Lonchura striata: one gene and its partner. The protein of the gene in region 2 interacts with the protein of the main gene of each other region in a pairwise test. Links are inferred from orthologs where the notes say so. Each region holds a gene or a part of one and is shown on either strand. Other genes may lie near its edges.

Evidence for each region.
Region 1: the proteins of BAG3 (region 2) and LITAF interact in binary tests that used the Homo sapiens proteins (3 or more experiments, as listed by UniProt). The two-hybrid records come from large-scale screens. The link is inferred for Lonchura striata from reciprocal best matches to the Homo sapiens genes BAG3 and LITAF.

The regions. Positions count from the first base shown.
Region 1 is NC_134618.1:7,967,137-7,974,366, forward strand, and holds the start of LITAF (lipopolysaccharide-induced tumor necrosis factor-alpha factor), read right to left. Parts: upstream 3,019-7,230; 5' UTR 2,860-3,018; intron 1-2,859.
Region 2 is NC_134609.1:27,403,525-27,410,828, reverse strand, and holds the start of BAG3 (BAG family molecular chaperone regulator 3), read right to left. Parts: upstream 3,006-7,304; 5' UTR 2,971-3,005; coding exon 2,800-2,970; intron 1-2,799. UniProt on the Homo sapiens protein: Co-chaperone and adapter protein that connects different classes of molecular chaperones including heat shock proteins 70 (HSP70s), e.g. HSPA1A/HSP70 or HSPA8/HSC70, and small heat shock proteins (sHSPs), e.g. HSPB8.

The DNA.
Region 1 (7,230 bases), on a different chromosome or scaffold from region 2:
ATCCACATAAGTTTGGGTGAGACCCAGCACAGAAGTGCAGTGTATACAATGACACAAGCCTTTCCACTCTCCCAGAGCATGGAAAAGTCCCTGGAATAATGCTGATTACCTTCCTCACACAATACAGCTTTCATCAGGATTTCAGTCAAGTCTATAAACACTTCCACAAAGAACTTGTCACAGGTTTGTTCACTCTTCCAAGTTACACAGGACTACTCAGCTGCACTGTAGGCATGGGGATACACCAGGAAACACCTATGTTTATATACTTCAGGAGTCCCACAGTCTTCTCAGCAGATTTAGCAGAAATGTGGAAAGGTGTATTACAAAGGGAATTGTGTACTCAATCAAGAGTGTGTTTGATAGTAGTCCTGTGGCCAGGACAAACACAGGAGCTGGTACAGAAGAACATAAGTGGCTACAGGTGCTGTCAGCCTGGAACATTGCTCTTTCCCACCTTTCTCATACTCACACTGCAACTTTGGCAGAATGAAAACGGAACAAGACAGCAGTCAAAGATGTTGAAACTCAGTAAGATTTTGTAGCAACAAGTATTTCACAGCTATACCTTTAAAAAACACTGATCTGTTTTCTTTAGAAAAGAGAAGTTTACTCCTTGTGACTAAACTACAGAGCTGAATCACGATCTACTGTCCTCACTTGGTACGCTGGTGTTGGCTGGGGGTGTACAAGAAGCCAGGAGGGGACACTGCCAGAACAGCTGACCCCAGCTGACCATAGGGATATTCCAGACCATAAAGCATCATGCTCAGCAATAAAACCAGGAAGGTTTTTGGAGGGATGTGCTACTCAGGGACTGGCTGGGCATTCATTGGTTTGTTGCTGGCGAGCAACTGTTCTAATTTGCTTCACTTGCTGGATTGTATTTCCCTCTGCTACTCTCCTTTTCATTACAACTATTAAATTATTATTTTTCTTAATTATTTTATTTCAATTATGAGACAGTTCTTATCTCAACCCATGAGTTTTCTTACACCCATCCAGTTTCTTCAGGGGTGCATTGCGTGAGCAGCTGTGTGGTACTCAGTTGCCAGGTGGGGTTAAATACAAAACTACTTCAGCTGCTCAGATCTGCTTCACTGACAAGCAAGTTCTAAGAAACTGAAAGACACTCTTTCAGAGATTTCAAAATGATATAACTTCCAGCATGAACACTTCAAGTTTTGATATTTGCTTTATATTGCATGTTTATTTCTTACCACCAAATGGTTTTGAACAACCATTTCAAAGTAATCACTGTGCTTTTTCTGCACTTTCACTTTTTTTTTTTTTTTGTAGACAAACGTGAACAAGTCTTAGGTTCTTGCAGCACTTTGTAGCATCTCTTTTTTTTTTAAATTTCAAATCTGTAGCACAAATAACATGTACAAAATACTACAGTGAATGGTAAAAAAAATGTATTAACTCCTTCAAGTTATCTATCAAAACAAAAATTCCTAATAAACATCCAGATGACATCAGGACTACAAAAAAGGCCTCTTCAAAGTACCGCGTACTGCAGATGTAACCACAACTTCAGCTTTTAATTTCATTTTTCTCATGTCCCTTCTGCTTTAAATGCCAACACTGAAGAGCTATTTGAGCCACCACTTCATACAGCCAGTGCAAATGCACAAGTGTGTTTCACACTCCACATCTTGAAAATTAGGCTGGGGACAAGGGAAAAAGAAGGTAATAGCCCACCTCTCTGCTTGGTATGTAAAAATACAACCAACCAAAAACCCATCCAATAAGAACTGCTTACAATTACAACTATCCTAACGCAGTGTGGCCAAACAAATGTGTTGCTGCCCTTCCCTTAATCTCTTGCAAAATCTGACACAACTTAATTAAATTAAATTAAATTAAACAATTCCTACACAGTCCTCTTCACTAGAAATCCCAAACAACCTTCCAACACCACGGGTGGTTTAGAGGGTTCCCTGCACATCAGAGTCTAAGACAGATACTGGTCAGCAACACTGAGAATGAAATACAGGTTGAAGGCTATTAACAACCCAGCAGGATATACAGGTTTATCAGAGCACTCGGATTTTTGCAGTGCAAAGCCCTAACACAGCACCTTCTTGGACCACCACTTCGTCTGAACTCTGGACAACTTCCTAGTTTACCAACTTGCTGAGAAATACTATCTCAAAGTTGTTTACATTTCCCAGGCATTTGTGAGAGAATAAAATCCAGTAATCACAACAAAAAAGACTCTGACATATTATTATTTCAGGAAGAACCAATGGCATTGTGGTCACATTGAATTTTGTACTGTCATAGTACAAATAGAATCCGCACGGTGTGTTCCGGCGGCAGAAGCGATTTCAGAGGTTAGAGTGCTACTTCTATCAAGTAATCAATAGTTTTGGAATAATCCTGTGAGTGGCTTAATCCTGTGAGTAACCCGCTCCTCGGGGCAGGGCAGGGCCGGTCTGAGAGGAGCTGCTGCCGCGAGGATCCCGAGAGCATTCCCAAAAGAAAGGGGCCACCTTCCGCCTGCCACACTCGGGAAAGCGAAACTCCGGCCTCGCTCGGCCCCCGCCCGCATCGCCGAGGGCGGGAGTCGCCCAGGGCCTCTCCCGGACCGTCCCGGGACCGAGACCGGGACCGTGCCGCTCGGGACGCCGCTGGCCCGCGAAGCCCCAACCTGCCCGCGGTGCCCCGGGGGCTCCTGCGGGGCGGGACCAGCCCAGAGCCGCGGCTTCTCCCCGTCCCCGCCGCCGGGCCGGAGCACTGGGAGCGGCGCGGAGGGCAGCGCCGGCGCGCAGGAGCGGCCCCGGCGGCGGAGCAAAGCCCCCCCCGCCGCGTTCTGCCCTGCCCGCGGCACCGCCAGGCTCCGGGCTCCCTTACCGTGCCGAGCCGTGCTCGCCAGCCCTCCTCGCCTCCGCTCGCCCGGGTGCAGCCACCGTCAGCACGGATTGTCCCGTCCCGTCCCGTCCCCACCCGCCTTTCCTCCTCCCCTTCCCCTTAGAGCCGCGAGCAGGCGCCGCGGGCGTTGCCCCGGCCGGGCCTTGCCCCGACTCCCTCCCCTGAGCCATCGGCTCCCGGCAGCGTGAAGGGAAGGGAAGGGAAGAGAAGGGAAGGGAAGGGAAGGGAAGGGAAGGGAAGGGAAGGGAAGGGAAGGGAAGGGAAGGGAAGGGAAGGGAAGGGAGCCTGTGGAAGTACAGGCACTCCTGGCGCATTTCGCAGTCACGGCGATCGGCAAACTTTAGCAGGGCCTATCGCAACAGGAAAAGATATGATGATTTTAAAGTGAAGGAGGGGGTTGATTTAGATTATATTAGGAGGCTTTTATAATGTGGGTGGTAAACTATTGTCACAGTTTGCCAAGAGATGTGGTGGATGCCCCTAGAAACATTCAAGGCTGGGTTGGGCAGAGCTCTGAGCAACCTGGTCTACTGAAGGGTGTCTCTGCTCATTGTAGGGGCCTTGGACTAAATGATATTTAAAGATCCCTTCCAACCCACACTGTTCTGTGATTCTGTGATGATGATGTTGATGGGAGTAAAGATGGTTAAGCAAAGGTCAGATGGCCTTTACTGCTGCCTCATCTGAGTGGAGGAGGAAGCAATACTAAAGTATCGTGCTTCTGTTCTTCCTTTGATTCAACCATTAATCCTAACTCAGCCTGACCAACAGTAACTGAAACCCTCATTATCCCTCATTTACCTAGGAAACAGACACCAGCATGCAACTGAGAAAGTGCCTTCGTCCCCATTATCTAAGATGAAAGCAACAGGTAACCAATTGTATTTGATAACAGTCTCGCCTCCATTTATCTGAAAATACAAAATTGATATTTGGAATCCACCACGTAGAGGATGAGAATATTCCCCATAGCTCCCCATTTCATAAACAAGTGGATGGTTTTGCTCCTCTCTCCTCCCCAAAGGAGAGATCCCTCTTTAGTAAATTTCATGTCTCTGTGTCAGACCATACTTGGGTGAAACTAAGCTTAATTAACTGTGAAGTTAAGTGTAATGAAAAACTGAATTTTTCATTTAGCTTGAAGCAAACTTAATTAACTATTGGCTGGTGCTAATGCAGTAACAGCATTTTTCAACAGCAATTCCAAATTTGTATTCCTGTTGCTTCAATAAGTAGCACTATTTGTGAATCTGTGCCAAATTTCATAGTCTAATGGAATAGAGCTGCAGCCCAACCAACTACCTGGGTTAGGCCCAGGAAGCCCATGCAGCTTCCCCAAAGCTGTGTTGGCACCCACAGAAGTTCCCTCCCTGCAGCAGACTGGGTGACTGGGGGGGGACATGGCCAGTGCCAGCTCAAGGTGTAGATGAGGAAATGTGGCTAGAAACTGATACAGCTTTTTATCTCCCCTCCCCCTGCTTCCCCATGAGCTGTGTACCTGAAGATTATAAACATAACTAGTTTTAAAAAAATCGTAAGAAAAAAGGGCCCCATGGCAGTTTCAGAAGCCTGACACACAAATGCAGCAGGATGGATCCACAAGAGTTCTGCTCCATCCTCAGTTCCCATGGCACGGTGTGATCAGCAGCCTCACCTGCTCTAGTCGCTGTTCAGCTTCTCTTTGCTGCGTTGAGCCATCACCAGGGCTGCTAACAGCACCATGGAAATGTATAAAGAATATAGTGGATGTTTTGTCATCGCACTGATTGGACACATGCTATTGCAGAACACCAGCAGATGTCAGTTTAGCCCCAAAAATAATTGCGTGCTGGATTTACTAGCTTTTGCTTTTACAGCAGTAGGTTTCTGTAAAAGAAGCTAAATGATGTTTAAAAGTTGATGTACATTTAAAAGCCTTTTAGCCATATCTTACATGCTGTAGTATGTTCTCAATAACGTGTAAAATAAGTAAACCTTCATCTCACCTTAAATTTCTCCTGCCTAAAAATCACAGGACTTGCACACATACAAATAAATATCTTTTTATAAATGTATATAATGTTGCATATACTGATTTGTTGAAGCTAGATAAGGGAATGACTATGACTATATATTTCTATGACTATATACTTACAGAGTTGTACCAGAATGCAGTTTCAGAGCAATGATCAATGTACAAAGACAGATTTAAAGAGAAGCAAGGTAGATACATTAAACCAAATAATCTGATAGCATAATTGTTTTTTCTTAACTGCTGAAATGCTAAGCAAACAGAACAAAAACTCCAACACAATTTCAATAGTTAGTACAATGATACAAGTGTTGAAATTCCCATGAGAAGCCTCAAAGATGACAACAGGATCCCACACTTCAGTGTAATTTATCATGTTAAACAGAAGTAGTATATATCTAGTCTAAAATTGGAAATGATTCCCCAGAAAAGCAATTGATTAACAGAATTGTGAAATTAATCCAAACCTAAATATTAGTACTTTGTTGTCCTTCTAGTACTGCTTCCTTCTTAATTACCAACTCCTGTAGTGTTATTTGATCATCATAACTGATAACAGCTGCCAGACTGCAAAACACAGTACAGCAAAATATTTAAGCATGCAAATCATATTATCTTCCCTAGAGAGTGAGACAGAAGTGTGGTGTCAAAAGAGGTAATGATAGATTTCTTTTTCTCAGAACACTTGGCACTTCATGTAAAGGATTATGAGAAGAACAACCACTCACTGCCAGTAATGGTTCTCCTAGTATGAACAACTAGAAAGAAACGGTTATGATAGAAAAGTTTTACCTTTAAAAACAGCAGGTCTGTCTTGATAAAGTCATCCATTATTTGATAGATTGATTATCTATTAATGCCATGACAAAACAGAGAGGAAAATTATGATTCTCCAAACATTTACCCTTCAAATTCATCTTCCTACTCCCTTGACAGGGTACAGGAAGGATATGATTTTAAAAATAAAGCTGCCTGATTATTTTTCCTGTAGTCAGAACTGAAACATGATTTCCACTGCTCTGATGTCATTGCTGAATGAAATGGTACAAAAATCCTTTCTTCATGCCCTTCCTCCAGAATAATGCCTGACCTGCTGTTTGGCCAAGCTCTGGTATAATATTGGCAAAAATCAGCCTTGCCAGCTCGTATATCTGACACTGAAATCACTGATCTAAATCTTACAGTGAAGCTTCCTGCTACTTTGATTGAGGCAGCAGCCAGAAATGTTTTCATGAAGTGCTTTGATCCAACTCTGTGGATCTAAAGTGAGTAAGGAATGACACAGTATTCTCTGTGCTTAATTCTAATATTCACACAGCTGTCATCTGGACACCAGGATTATTGTGATTTCATTGGGATATAGGCAATAAATACAGAAATATGTATAAAGATTGAGATCATATTACTAAAAATTCATAGTTGTCCAATAAGACTTTCCTTCAGGCCTCAAATACCTCCTTCTCTTAAAGTCTGTTTCTAGCATCACTCACACATTATATTAAGCTATATTCCAATAAGCATTTATTTTCTAATGCTTCTCTCACTTTATGAGTTACCAATATTGAATTATATAATAGTCTATAATTTCTAGGTTTTTTTTCTTAGGTTACTTGATTTAAGGATATCTTTGACATCATGTTTAGCATTTCAGCTCCCCACCTCTGGTAGGACTGCCTTCATTGAAGCCACTTCAGTGAATCTCTCAAGTCTCAGGTCCAAAGGGGTCAGTTCCTGTTTCAGGAACTCAGACATTATATGCCATATCTTGTCACTTGGTACTGGCTGTCTGTAGGAAGCAGCAAGCCAGGAAGCATATCATCTGGGCACAAATGTCATAGCTACAGAGCTAAAACACAACAGCAATGTGAGCATTAACAGCCATTTACCAAACAGATGACTAATCATGGTGAAATGCAATCTCATCCGCCATTGCTACACAGTAAGAAAACACTTCCCCAGATCTTGTGCAGCCTCGAGTGGCTTGTTACACTGGATGCCAAATATTTAGGACACTCCTTGTTTGAAATGAAACCTTTTGTCTTTTCAGACCGATCCTTTATGATAAACAAAGCAATCAGTAAACAATTGAACATGCTTACAAAGATTGGTAAAAAAGATGAGTGAACTAGAAAGCCTCAGGTAGGCTGGTGAGAGCTGGCTGATCTGCTGGGTGCAGAGATTCTGCAAGTCTTGATTGCATGCACAGCTCTTCTTGAATTTGCCCTGCAGCAAAATCATGTGGTCTGTGACACAATCACAACAGAATCTGTGGTTTAAAAATAAACTGCTTCTCTGCAAATTTATGGCTTGGTTTAGTCCAGCTTATAAATAAGTGTCCAGCA
Region 2 (7,304 bases):
TTATTTCTCACTGAAACAACATGAGATTTTTCCCTCTTTCTCATGAAGGGCTCCCCAAGCCATCCTTATGCTGCCATGATTTCTTATATGTAACAGAAACAAACATGCAGAAGAATACCCATCCTTCACGTCAGTAAAAAACAAAAAAAAAAAAAAGGCCAGACTGAGTGGGAAATAACCGAGAGCCATCTGAATTCACAAATGCACCTAAAATACAGAGTTAAATGCAAAATCAAGGTCTGGTTTCGTTGCTTTAAAAAGGCTTTGACATGGGTTACAATTTCAAAGGAGCCACTTCAACTTTTACCCGATTATGTATCTGGCACAGATTACTGCAGCCAGCATGGCTACACTGATGTTAAGCCCAGGGTAAGTGAGAAGGCCAAGATCAAGCACTCGGGAACAACAGGACTTTGTTATGACACTGTCTCAGCCATATTCTTACCTAGATAGAAAAGCTCAGTTAGCCCTAGATCTGTGCTCCAGTCATTGTCCACTTAGTGTGCAATACCACATTTCATTGCCTAATCTTTTCTGAAAGGGAACAAAAATTCACAGACAGAATATTGGTGGATTTACTGCAAGACCACCTCAAAGGTGGTCAAAAATTTTCTAGTTTCACTGTCATATTTCAGTGAAAGCAATGCAGTGATGAAGTCAGCACAAGTTTGACCTTCGTATAATCATTCTTGAAAAGGTGCATGAAGTCTGACACATGCAGTCAGCTTTTGTCATTCTCAGATCACTTCTAGAAACCCCAAGTTCTCATTTGAGCTAGGCTGAGAATAATGAAGGAAATCAGAAAGCTCTACCCATCAAATCTGGTTTTTGCTTTCATCTGTGGTTATGTCCTTCCTATCTGTTTAGGTATTAACAGAAGTCTGGCATCTTCAAAAATCCTTGTTGGATTTGGAAGTCAATGTCAATGGGTAATTTGCTTTCATTGCCATTGCCCAGCTAAGAGAATATTTAGAAAAGGACGTATTTCCCTTGGGCCTGATTCTAAGATTCTTTTGCTAACTAGTACCTGTCCTTGTGGAATACACTGGTACTCAACAAACTGATGATTTCAGCAGCTGTCCATGAATTCCAGCAGACACATTTAACTCGAGGCTCTGATAAATGCCCATGTGAGAGCAGTTACACACAACTTCTACCACCATAAACTGGAAGACTTTTTTTAGCTAGGAACTCCCAAAAAACAACAGCTCATCTCTGGAGGCATTTCCCTGTCTCACAGTGAACAAACCCAAAGCACACGTTCCAGCTTGCAGCCAGGAGTAACAGATTTTCCTGTTTGGAAAAGAGTGTGTCCCACAAAAGCTGTTCAAAAGCAAATACAGCTTTTTCTACCTGTGACAGCCCTTGCCATAGAAGAGGCACTTCTCATCACCACAGATTTCACACGAGATAGGGGTGAAAATTTGTTTTGTTTCAGGCACCCACTCAAGCAGAGGGCTGATCCACCAGACAGCTTCCAACTCTCTTCACACCATTATTGAAAGCAGCTTGAATTTGACTATTCTGTTAAATAGGTTAGTCTCAAGTGGTATTCCTGGAACAAAACCCTTTCAGGAAACAGCACACTTTTCTTTTCAAGTACGTTCTATGGCTATAAAAACCACACCATCTTTATTTTTACTACCACAACAGCGAGTGTTAGCAGGTGCCTCCATAAAGGAGAGAAAGCACTTTTTCCTATGCTACTCTCAATATTCTTACTTTCAAATTCCATTTTTCTAAGACCTTTGTGTATTATTACTATAATTTATTTATAGACCAAACGAACTAGCACTTAGAGAGCTGCAAAGGGGGTTAATTTGTGATAGAGAAACACATCCCTTCCTTGCCGAGGCCAGCTGCTCTCGCACCGAGCTTTCAGTCACGGCCCGCGCTCGCGAACCGGGCAATTACTATTTTAAGAAACGGCAAGTTCATAAAATAATTAACACTCCTTGAGCGCGTCGCTCCTCTCGTTGTAGGGGAGAAAAACTCAACAGAGATCCGGAGCAGCCGCATGCCGCATCCAGCGGCCCCTTCCCCGCTGCTGCGGGGACACAGAGCCCGACCCCGGGGCTCCCCCCGGGGCTCCGGTGCAGCCCCGCGGAGCTCCGCGCCCGGGACGTGCCCGAGCCCCCGGCCGGCAGCGCGGCGGAGCGGTCAGCCCGCGGTTACGCGATGCTCCGCGCGGAGAAGAGCGCCGAGACCCCGGGGAATCGCTTTCCCACCAGGCAAATCCCACCAGGCTCAAGTTTCCAGCGCTTTCTGCCCCCAGCCGCCGCGCTGTTGGGCCGAGGGCTGTATTCCGCCAAGGAACGGGCTGTATTCCCCAAAAGCCGCGGAACCTGACCCGAAAGGGTCACTCCGCAGGGCCCCGGCCGCTCTCCCCTCCGCGCCTCTCCTTCCATGGACATATTTGGACTGAGATGCGGCTTTTCCCCGAGCGTGCTTCGGAACAAAACCGGAGCGGCAGCTGCCGGCAGTTTGGGACCAGGGAAAAGAAAACGGGAAAAGAAAAAATAAGTTGGAGCCCGAGCCGGATCTCTCATTTTTTTTAAAGGCATCCAGCGTTCGGGCAGTTCACAGCTGAAAAATAAATCAGCTTCGCCTCTCCCCGGGAGGCCGGGCGGACTTAACCAACTTTAAATAAACATTACAGGGCCGAGGTATCGAATGATTGAATGCACAAAAAAGGGACTGCAGTGCGTCAGAGCCAAAAGGCAGCTCCCGCCCTCCCCGCACGGCCCCGACCCCCCTCGCCCCGCGGGACCCCGGCCCGGCCACCCCCGCCCGCCCCACCTGCGGCGCCGCCCGCAGGCGCGGGTCGCTCCAGGTCGTGGTGCGGCTGTTGTGATCCACGAAGAAGGGCCAGCCGGTCTGCGGGTCGATCTTGATCTCCCAGCCGGGGGGCAGCGGCTCGGCGCTGCCCTCCATCTGCGGCGGCGGCGGGCTCTGCGCGGCGGCGCTCATGGCGGGGCAGAGCGCGGGCCGCGCCGGCCGCTTTATCCGCCGCGGGCCGGGGGGCGGGGGCGCGGGGCTGGAACTGTCTGGAAACGGCGGCGGGGGCGGGACGAGGGGCGGGACGCGGAGGAGGAGGAGGAGGGCGGGGGACGGCGGAGGAGCCGCCGGCTGGAAACTTCTGGCTGTGTCCAGCGCGGCTCGGCAGCCCCCCGGGGCAGCGGGGAGGGCTGGCTGGGAACGCCCCGGGGCGGCGTGGCCGGCTCTGCTCGCCGCCGGCGCCGCGCGGTGAGCGCCCAGCCCGGCTGCGCTCCCGCTCCGGCCGGTCCCTGCCGCGCCCCGAGCCGTCCTTGGGCAGCCCGCAGCCCGCCGGCGCTCTGGCAAGGCAGCTCCGACCTACTGCCCCGTGCTCTGAGCGAAAGATCAACGCTCCTCCCCAAAACGCCCTGCCCCGTGACTGATAATTCGGGGTTATGGCAGATAAACAACAAAAATAATGCTTCTTAAGTGAGGGTGTGGGCAAGCGTTGTTCTTCGGATTCAACTGGCTTGAACTTTCTCAGCACTTTGCAAATGCGTGTCTCAGTTCTCAGTTTCCCGTAGAAATACACCTGAAGGCAAAGAGTGTGTCTGTGAGGTTTAAAACTGGCTCTCTGATGGGTGCTCTATCAGCAGGTCATGCACTCAGTGGGTTTGGTTGGAGGTAACTGTGCTTCTCAACTGCACCACTTCAGTCATCTGACAGTCACAGGAGCAGCCGCAGATGCCTGTTGATAGTCACTCTAAGTAGAAGAGTGAATGCACAGTGTCCCTCAAACGCAGAAGTTACCTTCTGCAAAACTTTGCTTCGAGGAATTCTAAGTATGGATCCCTTGGAGGCAGATGCTTATTACTGAAGTATCTCTTACTTCAAGAAGACCCCTGGCTCTTCACGCCCCTGAGCACAGCCAGGATCTCCTTCTGCTCAAGGCAGGATCAAAGATCTCCTGATACTGCTTGCCACTGATGGTCATTCATTTTTTGACAGGAGGTTTTGTTTATCACACTGACAAACCAAGTAGTTGCTGACACTTGCTCCTTCACTCCTGCAGCTCTTCCATCCTGCGTGTCCCTTGCTGTCAGGACCGCACTGCTCCATCACAGACCCATTTTTCTGTCCCCACTGTTGTGTGCCTTTGACTCCTAAGTATTATAAATGGATAATTTTTTTCCCGGAGCATTTACTTGCAGATGTCTGTATTGCCATCACCTTTCCTGACTTACCTATTTTCTAAGCAACAAAGCCCAAACTTTGCTGATCTCAAAGTCCTGAACTGGTGCCTGTCCCTGGCCATGTTTTCTACCTCTGCTGCCTCTTATGCTGTCTGGTATAAAACCTCTGCTCAGCCTCAGCAATGTCAGCAGTAGCCTCAAATGGAGTAATATCAGCGATTTATTCTGCTTCCAATGTGCAGAGGAATTTCACTCCCGGTTTTGCAACAAAAAGGCACACTTAGACCATATGTTCCCTGTAGCATATGCCAGAGTCTCTTCCAAATCAACAAAAGCAGCTGATTCAGACACAGGGGACACAGATGTTAAAAAGGTCCTGCAGGAAAATTACTTTTGTAAGTTGAGGAAGTGATACAGATGGGGTTTGTAGCTGAGGGAATGTAAACAAAGGCACGAAGAATGGGGGGGGTCTTTTATTTTGCTGCAGCTGGCAGCCAACCATATACTCAGCAGAGCTAATGAATACGGTCAGCAAGTAGATGAAAAATTAATTAAAGGAAATTTCAAAGGGATATCTAACTTAAGTTGGACATTTTTGTGGGGGCATACCCTACGAAGAAACAAAGAAACTAGCCCATGATAATTTCACAGAAATTATCATGGGCTAGTGATTCAAAATTCATTCGAGCTGCTGCAGGGTCGACAAGCATCCAGCTGGAAACAGAACAGTCTGGGCTGACAGGGAAAAGCCTTTTAGTGATTGAATTTAGTTGGCAAGACATCACACTTTTTCTGTTAATGAAATTGTCTTTCCTGACAGGTAGGATTTAGCCTGGTTTCCTGTGCAGGTGAAAGCACTGCCAGTGAGGCAGGTTACACAGGATATCTACACAGGGACTCACTGTTTGCTCTCTGGTGATGGGGTGTCACTGGGCCATAGCTGTGACCCTGAGGCAATGTGGCTTCTAGTTCATGTTGTCATTAGCCATCCTTCAGATCAGAATGATTTATGAAAATGTCCATGTAGGAAATACTGCCAAGCAAAAATCTTGGCTTCAGGAAAATCTGTTATTAAGATAAGTGAGTCTCTGTAGTGTCTGGCTAATCTCAGATGAGACTCCAGGCTCAAGGTCTTTGTGCTCTATTTCAGAAGGGAAAATGCTCAAGAGGCATTTTCTACTTTTTGTGTTCTTCATGTAAGTGCAAACACAGCACTCCTGACTTATCCAGGTTCCTATCTGCACAGCGCTTCACACACCCAGGAGTACCAAACTAAACATTTGCTCCAGGGCCTTCCACTACAACTAGAAACCATGTACTTGTAGTTACCCAGAGTGGGTTTACTCTACAGGGTCACCCACGTTTCTCTGACTTGAACACGGGCTGCAGAGCTCCCTCCCAGCTGCACAGCAGCTCTAGCTCAGGTTGTACAGGGCAGCACTGTTGCAATAGAATTGTTATTCACTGCATTAATCAAGCAGATCTCTCTGGTGTGTCAGGAAACAACACTTCTTGCAGTGAGATCCAGATCAGCTTTCTACCTCCTGAGTACCTGCAGCACTTTCACAGGTCACCTGAGCAGGAAAGGCTCTGTTAAGCAGCACTGGGAGTTCAGGTGTTTGTTCTGGGTGAGCATTGCAGAGAGCTGGCATTGATGAACCTGGGTGAGTGACGTGCCTGGCACGTGTCGAGCGCTGTGCTGTGAAGCAGGCTCCAGTCCAAGTCCTCTGCTGGGTGCATTTGAGTCATATAAACACTCCTAATAAATGCAACAAGCACAGACTTTCTCAATCCTCAGATTCAAGAGACATGATGAATTTGACCTGCATGATTTCCATCTCTTGATGTTTTATGCAGAGTATCACTGAGTAGCCCAGGTCTTCACTGATTATATTTTGAATATCCAGGTGTATGAATAGCTCCAGGTGCATGAACTTTTTAAGCTACAAGCAAACAGGTCCCACTTATGACTTGATGTAACCAGAGCTGTACAGATGTTTGGCTTCATGGTTTGTTCGCAATCATGGAACTGTTTGTTGGGCCACTGAAACAATTGGGGCCTGCCTTTGAGAAAATTAAAGATGCAAAGTGATTGCTAATCTTTTACTAATCTGCCACTTCTGCTACAGACCACTTCAGATTTGATCTCTAGTATTTGGTACACAATTTAGTGTAACTGGTGGTGAAGTGGAGAACAGAAGTAGGTGAATGAAGCCATCCACAAATGGTCTGATCTCACTCTGACTGCTGCATGGTGCTGACATTGCTTGGCTCTTAGAGCTTGATCATGCCATCTGCTTGTTGGAGTCACAGTAACTGGCAAGTCATTTGATAGATAAATATATTTCCTATGAACTTTAATAGAAAATTCAAAGTATAAATAAGAAATTAGAGTGCTAATTGTACTGTTTAAATGGAGAAAAGCTTTTTAAATGTACGTGTTGGAATCACACTGCAACTACACTAAAGCTCTGCATTCCCAAAGCACGTACTCTGATTTCAAATTTTCAGATTTTTTGAAAAATACTGCAGGAGCTAATCCCAGCACAATTTTTACTTTCTTTTCCCTCTTTATTTCCACCTGGAATGAATTTGTCATAAACCAGGGAGCAAATCTGGCTGTGAACACTGCAAAACCAGCTTTAATTTCTGTGACCTGTATGCAACAAAAGCAAAATTCAATTCCAAGCATAGGCAGCATAAGACAACTTGAATGTTTAGAGCTACTCATTCTCTTAATATGTCATGATATGGCACATGCCAAGTGAATTAATGTTTCCAAAATAGGCATTATTGGGCTGCTCATTCTCTGTTCTTCCAGTGTCTGTCAGATAGAAGCCTAAGGAGGCAGCTCTTTGGTTTAGGAGTGTCTGGGTCTAACCAGGGAACAGAACTTTGTCTTCCTTGGACATCAGGAGGATGAAGGAGAGTCGGTCTGAGCCGGTGCTTTAATTGCCACGGTGGCCAGCACCCATTAGAATTGAGAGGCTCCCACCTAGTGGATAATCTGCCCTGCTGTACTCCGGGCTGCCACGGTCCAAATGTGCTTGGGAACATCTGAGTCATTTTTCCAAAGTTTACTGGCAAATCTTGGTCCAAAACAGTATCATTTCCAGACCTGAGGGTGCCCAATAG